Drosophila melanogaster: one gene and its partners. The protein of the gene in region 2 interacts with the protein of the main gene of each other region in a pairwise test. Each region holds a gene or a part of one and is shown on either strand. Other genes may lie near its edges.

What was found.
Region 1: the proteins of slp1 (region 2) and CG11695 interact in a two-hybrid assay, tested with the Drosophila melanogaster proteins (one large-scale study listed by BioGRID).
Region 3: the proteins of slp1 (region 2) and CG43894 interact in a two-hybrid assay, tested with the Drosophila melanogaster proteins (one large-scale study listed by BioGRID).

The regions. Positions count from the first base shown.
Region 1 is NC_004354.4:11,575,126-11,579,444, forward strand, and holds CG11695 (uncharacterized protein), read left to right. Parts: upstream 1-1,757; 5' UTR 1,758-1,827; coding exon 1,828-1,953; intron 1,954-2,019; coding exon 2,020-2,693; coding exon of another isoform or gene 2,694-2,718; exon of another isoform or gene 2,719-2,751; coding exon 2,752-2,949; intron 2,950-3,007; coding exon 3,008-3,644; 3' UTR 3,645-3,681; downstream 3,682-4,319. Other genes in the region: CG11696 (uncharacterized protein), read left to right, coding at 1-69, 129-513, 573-914; e(y)2 (enhancer of yellow 2), read right to left, coding at 1,048-1,353.
Region 2 is NT_033779.5:3,823,718-3,827,698, reverse strand, and holds slp1 (sloppy paired 1), read right to left. Parts: upstream 2,025-3,981; 5' UTR 1,916-2,024; coding exon 947-1,915; 3' UTR 600-946; downstream 1-599. UniProt on the Drosophila melanogaster protein: Transcription factor involved in segmentation. Required for the formation of the mandibular lobe. Different levels of slp activity seem to be required in different segments.
Region 3 is NT_037436.4:12,887,739-12,891,624, reverse strand, and holds CG43894 (uncharacterized protein), read right to left. Parts: upstream 1,856-3,886; 5' UTR 1,402-1,855; coding exon 1,341-1,401; intron 1,283-1,340; coding exon 1,154-1,282; intron 1,086-1,153; coding exon 568-1,085; 3' UTR 520-567; downstream 1-519. Other genes in the region: CG14120 (uncharacterized protein), read right to left, coding at 2,458-3,886.

The DNA of each region.
Region 1 (4,319 bases), on a different chromosome or scaffold from region 2:
GCTGACCATGCATCTTAAAGGACACAAGGGCACCGAGCGTCCCGAGGTGTGCGACACCTGCAGCAAGACGTGAGTGGCGCTAGACTGGTAGGCGAATGTACTAATGCGTTGCTCTCTTACTTTCATAGATTCCGCACCAAGTTTGAGCTAAGTGCCCATGTAAAGCGCATGCATGCGGCAGACTTTACGCCCATCATATGCGACATATGCGGTACACACTTCAGGAGCAAGGCCAACTTTCTCATCCACAAGAAGGCGTTGCATCCGGACGGGCCGGTGGCGGAGGTGCAGTGTACCCTGTGCGGCCGCTGGCTGCGGGACGAACGGAGCCTGCGCAAGCATCTGGCACGCCACGATGACCGCGACGGCGACACCAAGTACCGATGCCTGCTCTGCAATGCAGAGAAGTCATCCCGTGCCGCACTCAGCAGCCACATGCGGTACCATCACTCCGCCAAGCGGCACAAGTGCAGTCTCTGCGACAAGGAGTTCAAGCTGCCGCGGGCATTGGCCGTGAGTTGACCAGCGTATCAGATTCTGATCGTGCTAATCCCGGAACGTTTTCATTACAGGAGCACATGGCCACTCACACGGGCATCGATCTGTACCAATGCCAGTTTTGTACGCGCACCTTCAAGTCTCATGCCAACATGCACAACCACAAGAAGAAGATGCATCCCAACGACTGGGTGAGAAAGTACTCGCAGCCCAGCAGTAGCATTACCTCCACAGCGGCTCCACTTGCTCATCCCAATCATCCTAACCAGCCTGCTCCTCCAGCGGCAGCTCCGACTAATCTAGCCGGGCACATGCTGCCGCCACTCGGTGGCATTGCCAAGTCGCTGATTGAGATACCCGATACCGAGGGCTTCGATTTCGGCAGCAACAGCTCCGTGTGCCCCACGCCCGACTGAATCTGTGTGTTGTGTGTCTGTGTTTGGTGTCTGTCCCTGCGACTTTGTGTACACGTTCCCTGGTCGGGATTTATGTATAAAATCGTACAAATAAACTTTATTAATATACAAATCCAATGACGCTGAGTTAAAGTTAGGATTCGTCCTCTGGCTCATCGGGTTCCTCCTCAATTTCCGTGAGAATGGTGCGTATCTTCATAAGCAGCTCCTTTTTGACGGCATCCGGGACCAGGGTGCGTGCCTTGGGTGTTACCTCGGCGATCAGCTGCTCTACGGTGAAGCTGTTGTTGGTGCCCTTCTCCATCAGGATGTTGCGGCACATCAGACGCACCTCGTCCCGCCAGCCACATTCCGTAAGGCGGCTGCAGAGCAAATCCTTGATCTTGGAACGGTCGCCGGTTAGCACCGTGTACTGATCAACTGCGCCGGAAGTGCTCATCCTTGTGTCGCGTATCTAAGTCTTGCAAATTACCAAGTTTCCTTTTTCGAGTCCTTGTCGATTTCGCAGCGTCTGTTTTTTTGCTTTTCTTCGCTGCATCTATCTTTTTGAGCTGTGTTTTTGTTTTGTTGTGTTGTGATGTTGGTACAGTGGTCATGGCAAACAGTCTGGCTACTTTGTAGCTAGTTTTTAGATACGGACATTAATCAACTTTAAAGAAATGAAAATATATTACCAAATATATGTAAAGTTTTAAAAATTTTTAGTTTAAATTGGAATGTATGCACAATTCGTATGTTTTCGGTCATTTTCCTGGGTCACTTAAAATTTAAGCTGCTTTTAAGCGCCCACTCTGGCATCTCTGTCGCTCGAAGTTTATTCAGCCTGGCAGTCTGGCAACACCTCGGCGACGTCTTAAACTGAATTTGCGAGGCAATTAATTGAATTAATTGCTTTTCCTACAGCTGTAGTGCAATGATATGCCGCCTGTGCCTGGACGATGCTGAGCACAGTGTGCCAATCTTTGACCAGGATGACTCCGGCGATCAGCCAGTGCCCTCCAATCTAGCGGAGCTAATTGAGAAACACCTGCAGTTGGTGGTAAGCAGTGAATTCCGTTTGAACCACCAACATTTGTTAATGACCAGATTGCATCCTTGTTACCAGCTCCTGCCCAACGATGGGGTGTCCAAGAGCCTCTGCACCCAGTGCTGGCAGCAGTTGGCCGACTTCGAGCAGTTCTGCGCCATGGTGATGAAGAAACAATTGGGCCTGCAGCAACTGAAGATGGAGCCGTTCTCCGAGGACGAGGATGCGGACACTAAGGCGCAGATCCTGTGCGAACCGGAGATCGATGTGAGTCCCGCGGCCGCCGACAACGAAGAGTGCAACGAGATCGACGGCGATGCCAGCAGCAACAGCAGAAGCAGTAGCATTCGCACCACATCGCTACGAGAAATGCGCCTGCCGTCGCCCATTAGACGCCGTATGCGTCTACCCCGGGCAGTCACAGCACCCAAAACTCAGGCTGTCAAGGCCAAGGCCAGGACGAAGACCCACAAGGCCGAGGCGGACGAGGATGAGGATGCCGAAGGCGAGGGCGATCCAGAGAGCCGCAGCAGCAATAGCCGCGAAATGGACAGCTATATCGCTCTGCACGGTCGTTTGGAGTGCTGCATTTGCGGCGGCGACGAACAGTTTCCCAATTTCGCCGAGATGAAGCGGCACTTCCGGAATCATCACCAGTCCCTCGGTTATGTGGTCTGCTGCCAGCGGCGCTACAAGAAGCGTGCCCTCTACGTGGACCACCTGCACATGCACAACGATCCGAATTACTTTAGGTACTTGACCAGCCCAGGCAATTGATTGAATCCCCCTACTAATGAATGAACTGTGCAGGTGCAAGATCTGCTCCAAGCAACTGGTCAGCCGGATTAGCTACGATGTACACATGCTACGCTTCCATCCCAACAAGGACGACCTAAGCTTCGCGTGTGATCAGTGCTCAAAGCGGTTCTCCAAGCAGTTCCTTCTCACCATTCACTCCAGGGTGCACCAGCAGGAGCGCAATGAGCAGTGCAAGCACTGCGACAGATCGTAAGTGTAGGCAGCAAGTAGAAGAGCGAATTGATGAATTGCCTCTATCCGCCCACAGCTTTCGCACCGCCGTTGACCTGCGGCTGCATATGCGACGCACCCATGACCCCGCCTTCGTACCCTTCATCTGCGACTCGTGCGGTGCCAAGTTCAAGACGAAACAGAACCTGCTAGTGCACAAGCGGACTGTGCATCGCGAGGGCTCCCAGCTGCCCGAGGTACAGTGCCAGGAGTGCCAGGTGTGGCTGTCCGACGAGAACAGTTTGCGCAAGCACATGTACATGCATCTGGATGCCGCCTCGCTGCGTCAGTGGAAGTGCGAGCAGTGCGGCCTGGAGAAGGGTTCGCGGGCCAAGCTGGCGGCCCACATACGCTATCATCATCCGAAGGAATACCACAAGTGCACGCACTGCGCCAAGGAGTTCAAGAGCAGTCGCAGCCTCGAGGAGCACACAGCCACGCATACCGGCCAGGATTTGTACGAGTGCGCCTTCTGCGAGCGCACCTTCAAAAACTCGGGGAACATGCACAAGCACCGCCGCCAGATGCACGCCGCCCAGGTGGCCGCCCTGCAGCAGCAGAAGAAGGTGCCGCCCAGCAAGCGCAAGGACAAAGGTGACCTGCTGCTCGACGTCCTGGCCGCTGGAGGCAAGGATATGAGCCACGTCATGGGTGCGGGCGACATGAATGACTGATTGATTCTAAAAACCAAATAAACTAGATTGGAATGACACATAAAACACATTTAATTCGAAATAAGTTTGGGTATTATTAGCTTATAATATTCAAAAGTGTATTTTGCAATTGGAACGAATTTGGAATCCCGCTATTTTCGGATTCATGCAGTTCCCATTATATTTTATTCGGTATTGGAATCCCGCTATTTTCGCATTCATGCAGTTCCCACTATATTTTATTCGGTATTTTCGCAGTCATTAGTGTGGCCAAAACTCGAAAATATCAAGGGCTAGAGCAGCTAGATGTTGCGGCATTCGCGGCCTGGTCACACTAAGCTAGGGCTACTTTTTATATCATAAGTCGAGCGTTTAGGTAAGCGAAACAAAAAGAGCTTTAGTTAGAGGTATTAGTTTGGTTGCTATTATTTCTAAATTGAAAACTTCACTTCCTTTGATCCAAAAGACACTGAAAAGACACGTTTGCAGTTGAGTTCATTATTTTCTGGTATACATACACACTGATTACTCATTCAATTGGCATTTTGCTCTTGTTTTTCTCCGATTGCCTTGCACTCGCATAAATTTAACACAAAAAAGAAGTTCGGGGTGTTTAGAATCCATCCACTTGGTACAGTTCCCATCGAGCTGGTGAGTACTCCGCGCAGTGCAACGTATACACACTTGAACTCGAAT
Region 2 (3,981 bases):
GTGTGCCCGCTGGACAGAGAGAGAGCGAGATCTAGACAATGGCCTGGCTGGGGTTCATGCGTACAGGGGACCAGGAACCGAGCCGGGGCTATATGGGATATCATATCGGATCGGATCGAAACGGATCGTACCTGCGGTGCCCAGCACATCTCGCACAGCTGGAGTTGTCACTGGGCATGTAAAGAGCCAAACAAAATCGAGTCAATGGGTGATGGCTCATTTTGAACCTCATCCTCTGGCATTTTTCTGCCTTTTTCGGGAATCATTTTCATGTTTGCCGCTCTGGCTAGCAAACAACTAATTAAGTCATCAGGATGAAAGCAAGTTGCTGGAGGAAGCTGGGTAAATATTTACGGGATGTGACTGTGAGCTGGACAGCAGCTGATGGTCAACGGAAAAAGAAGCTGCTGAGTTCTCAGAGAAAGGCAGTTAAATAATAACGAAAAAGTGCCATTAAGTCTTATTCACTGATGAATATTTTTCAAGTGTCGATAACTCGATCCAAAAAATTGTTATATTCTGAAATGGTTTTAAAAATAAGAAAGCCGTTTGAAATTTTTCTTTTTAAATTTGTTTATTATTTTTTTTTCTTTTTTTTTATATTTCCTAATTACATATGTACAAAAGTTGGTGAGCAAACTACAAGGGCTCTCGGCTGGCAGGAATCCTTCTTCAGCAGTCCTGAAGATTTGGCTGCGCATTCATTGCCGTTAACCATCGACTTTCCAAGTCGATTCGGAGGAGCCGCTGAAGAAGCGAAGCGGTCAATGCGATGATGACCAAAGGAATTTGCTAAATGCAGCATTTAGACGTCACGGGTTTTTCCACGGGGCAAGCGAGCAGGAAGTCCTACCAGTCCTAGCTCTTCCCCAAGCGACCCTTTTGTCCCTGGGTTTTTTTTTTCGATCCAAAGCGCTGGGCTTGGTTCTGCGCCGACTGCCAAGATTTAGCTGGATGGAAACTTGCCAAAGAACTGCATGCGCTGAAACAACTCGGCGTTCAATTGTTGTGGATAGCCCTGCATCTGGGCGGGATGGGGCGCCTGATGATGGTGGGCCTGAGGAGCCTGCTGGTACTGCATCTGCTGATAGGCAGCCTGATAGGCAGCGGGATTCATGCGCTGGTACAGGGCGGCGGCGGCAGCGGCGGCGAATGGAACAGCCGGGTATCCGTAGCTGGAAGCTGGAGCTCCGTATGGTGAAGCAGCCATCATCGGCGAGAATATGGCCTGACGATAGGCGGCCAGGCGAGTGCGACTGGCGCCGGGATTCTTGCGCCTCAGCTTGCCGGTGGTCTCGCCAATGAATACCTCCTCGGCCGAGGGGTCCAGGATCCAGTAGTTGCCCTTGCCGGGATCATCGTAGCTGCGGGGAATCTTCGTGAAGCACTTGTTCAGGCTCAGATTGTGGCGAATGGAGTTCTGCCAGCCCCGCTTGTTGGCCTTGAAGTAGGGGAATCTATTGATCAGATACTGATAGATGCCATTCAAAGTCAACCGCTGCTCGGGACTATCCTGGATGGCCATCATGATGAGGGCGTTGTAGCTGTATGGCGGTTTCTTGGTATCGCTGCCGGCGGTCATTTTCTGTTTCTTGCTGGGATTGCCATCCTCGCTCTCCTGGTCCTCGTCCAGCTGATCCTCCAGCTCATCGTCGAACTCCACGTCGAGCTTGTCATTGTTTTGCGACGATAGACTCTCGGCGGCACTGCTCATGGGTGTGCTGGTCCTGCTGGGGCTGTCGAAATCCTCCGAAGCCGAGAGTTCGCCATCGGAATTGGAGTACGGATGAACGTACTGATGATGATGATGCACCGGTTCGGTTTTGATGGGTTGAGTTGCGGTGTTGATGGGTTTCTTGGCCAAGATGGCATCGATGGAGAAGTTGCTCTTGAATTCCATTTCACTTTTCACCATTTTTCTGATTCGGATATCTTTAGATTTTTGTTTTCTTTGGTTTCTGATTCTCACACACGACTTGGGATCGCTTGAGATGTTTGCTCTTGAGATGCTAGCTCTAAGCTGATTCTCTACAGCCCCGGATCGGGCTATTTATAGTCCAACCCCCGGTCGCTCGAACGAAGTCTACACGAAGAGAGCCCACAGGCCGAAAGAGACGGGTAGCTAATGCGCACAGGGAGTGCGAAAGGGATGGGCATCAGGTAGTTGGGCAGTTAAACCCTCTTCACAAGACTCCGCCCTCCATTTTGTGACCATTTTGTTCCACTCGCCTTCCACACGAAACTATATGTTGGCTATATGTTTGTAGACGTTGTTTGGGAACTTGTGGATGTTTATTTGCAGTCTTTTGCTGCTTCGGCGTCAAAATATCCATTACATCCAATCCAAACAGGGTCGGTATTTTGGGGTTGCTCTCAGTGCGTCTCGCTTCCGCTCGCTGTTTTGACTATTAATTGCACTAACAAGCGGCAATAAAAACAAAAACACCAATTTCGGGCAGTTGCAATTTAATCAGGATGTTTATAATTCGAGTTCGATGATTTTTGATTGGGATCCGAGAGTAATTTACAAATTGGGCCATTTCTAATCACTTCAATGGGGATGACATTTACACTTTGTCAGATATTAGAGTGTTCTGGCAATGACCTAATTTCAGTCATAATTAACTCAAAGATATTAAATATGCTTTTATAGATATAAGTAAAGATATTTACAATGTTCTAGAATATTGGATTGGTGCTTTGATCCACTTATCATATGACATTGAATTCTGCGAACCACTGCACTAGCGATCTGCGACACAGACTCCTCGAGTTGCTCCTAATCCCGCCCAAACTAGTTCAAGGGTCGCTTTTGTGGTCCGGGGATTATCTGAGGCAGATCCTGCCTTGGCTTACGGCACGATTTTCAACAGCTCAATGGAGCTCAGGACGCAGAACGCAGGACTCAGGTAATCCGAAGGGGTTAAACCTCCGAGCACCGGGATTTGTTCTAGTTTCGCGACAGATTTGCGAATTAGTTCTGGGCGCGCTTCGCCAGAATCAATGTGGATCTCTGGCAATCCTTTTGGAGATTAATAGATTTGGAAAATTATAAGCATGGACTCTGGCAAATATTTGTGCTCAGTGTTGGCTGGCAGTGGAATTTAAAATTGGTTGCACGAAAGTTAAGTCATATTTTGGTGATTTTGTGTGTGTGTGTTTAAGATTTTAAGATAGCTTAAATTTGAATGAATATCAATTTGTTCTATGATAAAGAATGCGATAATACTTGTAGGCTAAGGTTTTTTAATACTTGAAGACACTTTTAGGAAATTAGGAGATGATTGCAGTGCCGTGGATCTCAAGGACACATGCAACTCACATGGACAAACATCCTTTGGGATCAAACGAAGTCTCGCCGACTCTACTTTGCTACCGAAATGGACTTTGAAGTCCGGACTTTTCGTTTGCGAGTGGGTTGGCAATGGACCGAGACTGGACCCCGGCTACAAAAACACGAATGTACAAGTGGTTTTTGTGTCCATAGTGTTTTATGTTTTTATGGCATGTTTTGTTAGAACAATTGAACAAATATACAGGCAGATAAATCGGGCGAAAGTCAAGTAGACACAATGAAGACGTCAGCGCTGTGGGTTATTACAGATGGATGGATGGATGAATGAATGGATGGGGGCGAATACTTGTCGGCGGCACTGTGCGTTTGATATCTTAGACAACTTGACAAAACAATCAAAGCAGCAACAACACATGTTCCAAATGACTGTCTATTAATTTGCTCCCTTCTCATATTTTATTTTTTGCCCAAAACCAAAAAATAAAAAATAAGTGAACAAAACAATGGAGGAGTTGGGAAGAAAAAAGTAGGCAGCGCACTTTTAACGCAGTAGTCCAATTGCCGATGATAATGATGCACTCAGAGAAGTCGGCAAAGTTAAAAGTGCCCGAAAGAGACGGCAATCGAGCGATAGAGAAAGAAAGGTATAGGCAGTCGAAAAAAGTAGGCGGTTAACAATTGCCGAG
Region 3 (3,886 bases), on a different chromosome or scaffold from region 2:
TTAGGAACGACAAATTTGAAAGTAATGAAATAATGTTCGGAAGGAGTCCATCCGGTGCTGAGTAGCTTTGAATTTTTTTTAACCAGTATCGAAGATCTTAGGAAGATCCACCCGAAAAGGGTAAGTTAATATTGTAATTATAGGTACTATAACTGGGTGGGTACGGATTGTAAAATGATGGAAGTGAGTTCCCAGCGGAACGTCCATTATAGTTCATATACGTTGGATAGGACATCCCTACTGAGAAGTGGAGCCAAGGATTGGCCGAATTGGGTTGTCCTTGCATGGCATATTGCCGGTTGGCCTGGTATTGAATTGCGTACTGTGGGTTGGGCTGAGGTGGAATCACATATTGTGGTGCAACTTGACGCGGCTGCTGCATTTGAAACGGTGGGCGAGGTGGTGGATACCCGGGTGGCATTGAAGCTGGCATCCCCACAGGCTGATAAGGCATTTGTGGCGTTCGCCGGAAACGGTGCAAAACTGGCGAAGATATAGAAACGAAAAAAAAAGGTTGATAATAGATTCTATATTTATTATTTGCACATAACTAAAGCTCCTGGTCTTTTAGCCAGCTAATGTGAGGTAGATTAAATAGTTATTGGTTGATGAGGGATTGGCTGATCTAGACAGGGGGTATCCATATTGACCATATGAACTTGACCGCACACTGGGATAGCAGTTATAGTAGCATGGTGGAGTGGGAGGAACTAATTGTGGCCCATTGGCCGATCGCTGCTGCGTATAAGAAGGCAATCCTGCTCCCGAATTCGGATAACGGGGATAAGTACAGGAATATGGGTAGAGCGGACTGATGGTACAGGGAGGACTTTGTCCTCGATTTAGCCAAGGATTTGGCTGTTGAGGTTGCTGGGAACCATCTTGAACAATAACCAAAACATTAGCCTGCCGTTGGCCTGCATGGGTGGCAAATGTATCGGAGTTACTGAAATCGCTCAGCAGTTTAAAGTCACTGTTCCTATTATTCCGATTGCGACTCGTGGAAGTGCTGGGTATGATGATGCTGTTTCGGGTGTTGGCAGTGGTCTGTGTAGTGTCGATGATGAAATCGCTGGCCAGCTGATCTGAAACGGATCAGTTGAAAAGGACCAGATTTCAGTGTGAACCGATGAAAAAACAAAATTTTACGAACCTGATTGGCACTCCGGATAGGTTCCACATTGTTCTCCTTCTTGCTGATTTGGGTTTTCGCAGGGAACTCTGGATACAATGCATTTTTTACCAGATATACAGGCAATATCCTCACAACTAAGTCCAAATTCTGTATTGATAGTGGGGAATTTTTTAGATTTTATCCCTTATCCTGTTCGCTGACTTACTTCTGTATCCTTGGACAACAATCGTCGTGGCTAATATCAAATATATACCAACAAGTTCCATTTTCTCTTGTAAAATTCCGAAACTAACTAAATTCATTTCCCTAAATCCCTCATATTTATATCATTTTGATATTTCATGGTTGATGAGTTGCGGTAATGATTATTTGCAAAATTAAATCACCGAAATATGATGATTATTGTTCTGACTCTTTCTAACATAAATAAAAGTTCATTAAACAGCGCTAATTGAATATTTTTGTATGGCTGTTTAAATGCAGTACATTAAAACTTACACGATTAATAAGTTACTGCCTAAATATTTCAGCAGTAGGTTAGCCGAATAGAACTATCTATTAAACGGTCTCTGAACTACGCCTTGAACAGGGGTAAATAAACATTGCTTAACAAAATAACACACACTTTCAGCCTTGATAGATATTACTGATTAATTAAAACGAAGTTTAACCGCATTGTTGAATCCGCAACAATTCTAAGTGAATGATTACTCGACCAATATAAATCAATTTTGGTTTCTATCTGCTTCATTTACGGTTTTTGCCTTTTGTTTACCCCCTAAAAAGTCCATTATAATTATTAACCAAGCAGGCGTATACTTCATACGTTCTGCGACGATTGTGTTGCGATAAGATAAACAAAGGGAACCGCACAAGTAATACAAGGTATTTCCTTAGCTTCGATAAGAAAATGTGAAAGTCACTGCCATTGGGACTTCGATTCGGGCCAAGGGACTGCCTCTTGGGCTACTGGAACAGCAGAAAAAATTAAGGCTTTTGGAAACGTGCGGCACGTGAGCAAATAATCCAATGGCTGGGTAAATAAATAGCTCTACCCCGGCCATAAACGATAACGTCAAGCATTTGATAACCTTACTCTTATCAATATGTCCAACATGCAATAAACTCCAAAGAGAACAAAAGCTAAACGTGATTTCACTGTTTTATGGCCCATGAGAACTTAATTTAAACGTGCCTTTAAGCATTTTCCTAAGGGCTACCCTTCAATAAAAACCTGTTTTCTTTAAGATAGTCTTTTTATTGGTTTTAAATTAAGAAATTCGTTTTTTTTTTTGGAAATTGCACACCCACAAAATCTGATATTAAACACCCAGGACTCCATCGACAAACAGGTCTTGTAAAGGTAGGTCTTTCACCACTGCAGTAAAGTCCTCCACAGTACAGGCATATGAATAGCCCTTCTTTAGGTCCTCTTTGGTCCAACTGACCCAACTCAGTTGGGCGCCAATATCCTGGCAGATGATGTACTCCTCTTCGATTTGCTCAATGGTGGCATGTGGGTTGTTAACTCCAAGTAGCACGATGCCATTTCTGCTCTCGCGATCGATAATCACGCGGAAGTACAACTTTGGCACTGGAATCAGACCATTGTTGTTTTCATCAAAGTCCAAATAGAGCTCCCTTCCAATGCCATTTACATCCGGCAGGGTGGACACACCCCATGTGCCCGTATAGCAATCCACTGTGATGTTTTCATCCGCCACAAACTTTCTCACACTGTCCTCGATTCGTTCCCAGTTTCCGCCATTAAAGGTCTGCCACTGAGGTGCCGCATTCACAAAGAAGAAGCTCGCCTTTTGAGCGGCCCCAAAGACAAAGTCGGTCTTTGCAGAAAGGTGACCCCGAGCCAGATAGACATTACCAGTGGTGTTGAAGTATGGTGAGGCATCCATGCCCAAAATCTCGGAAACCGTGATATTCTGTTGAACTTGGGTGTACAAAGTGTTCACATCCTTGCCTCCGTAAAAGTCGCCGGGTATAAAGGATGGCCTGGATACAGATCGCTGATATTGGTCACTTCCGGGGTACAAAACATGATGCACATAGCGGGTGACTTCGCTCAGTTCATCGTGACACACGTCATAGGTCTGCAGGAAGTCGTCGCTCGAGGAGGATGACAGCTGAAAGCCCACTTCAAGCAGATCAGTACCACCATTGCAGGGACGACCAGAGCGACGAGCAGTGTATGTTGGCCAGGAAGTGCAGACAAAGTCCTGCAGCTGATACAAACTGCCCATTGCCAGGATGCTCTGCTGTTGCCAGCATGTTGAATTGACGAAGGTATAACCAGAGAAGGGTCCACTGAAAGAATTGATGCAGTGGAACTCAAGGGCTTCTCCATGTTTTAGCTGAACTACTCCTTCTTGATTCGGTTCCAAATATCTCGCATGACCCAATTCACTCCTGACTACAAATAAAGGAGCCGGATCCTTAAGATCACCGTTCACTTTAAAGCTGCACACTTCATTGTCCAAGATTTGATCAGTCAAACCAAGAATTCCTGTTGTTTGCAGTTGATCTGTGGGCAAATCCTTAACCACTTCGATGAAATCTTCTACAGAGCACGCATAGGAGTAGCCCTTCTGCAGGTTTGCTTTGTCCCAGTCCAACCAATCGATTTGCGCTCCCACATCCTCACAGATCACATAATCCTCGAGGGTCTCCGTCAATGTTATATGTGGATTGTTGACCACAATTAGAACTACTCCCTTGCGACTTTCCTGATCGATA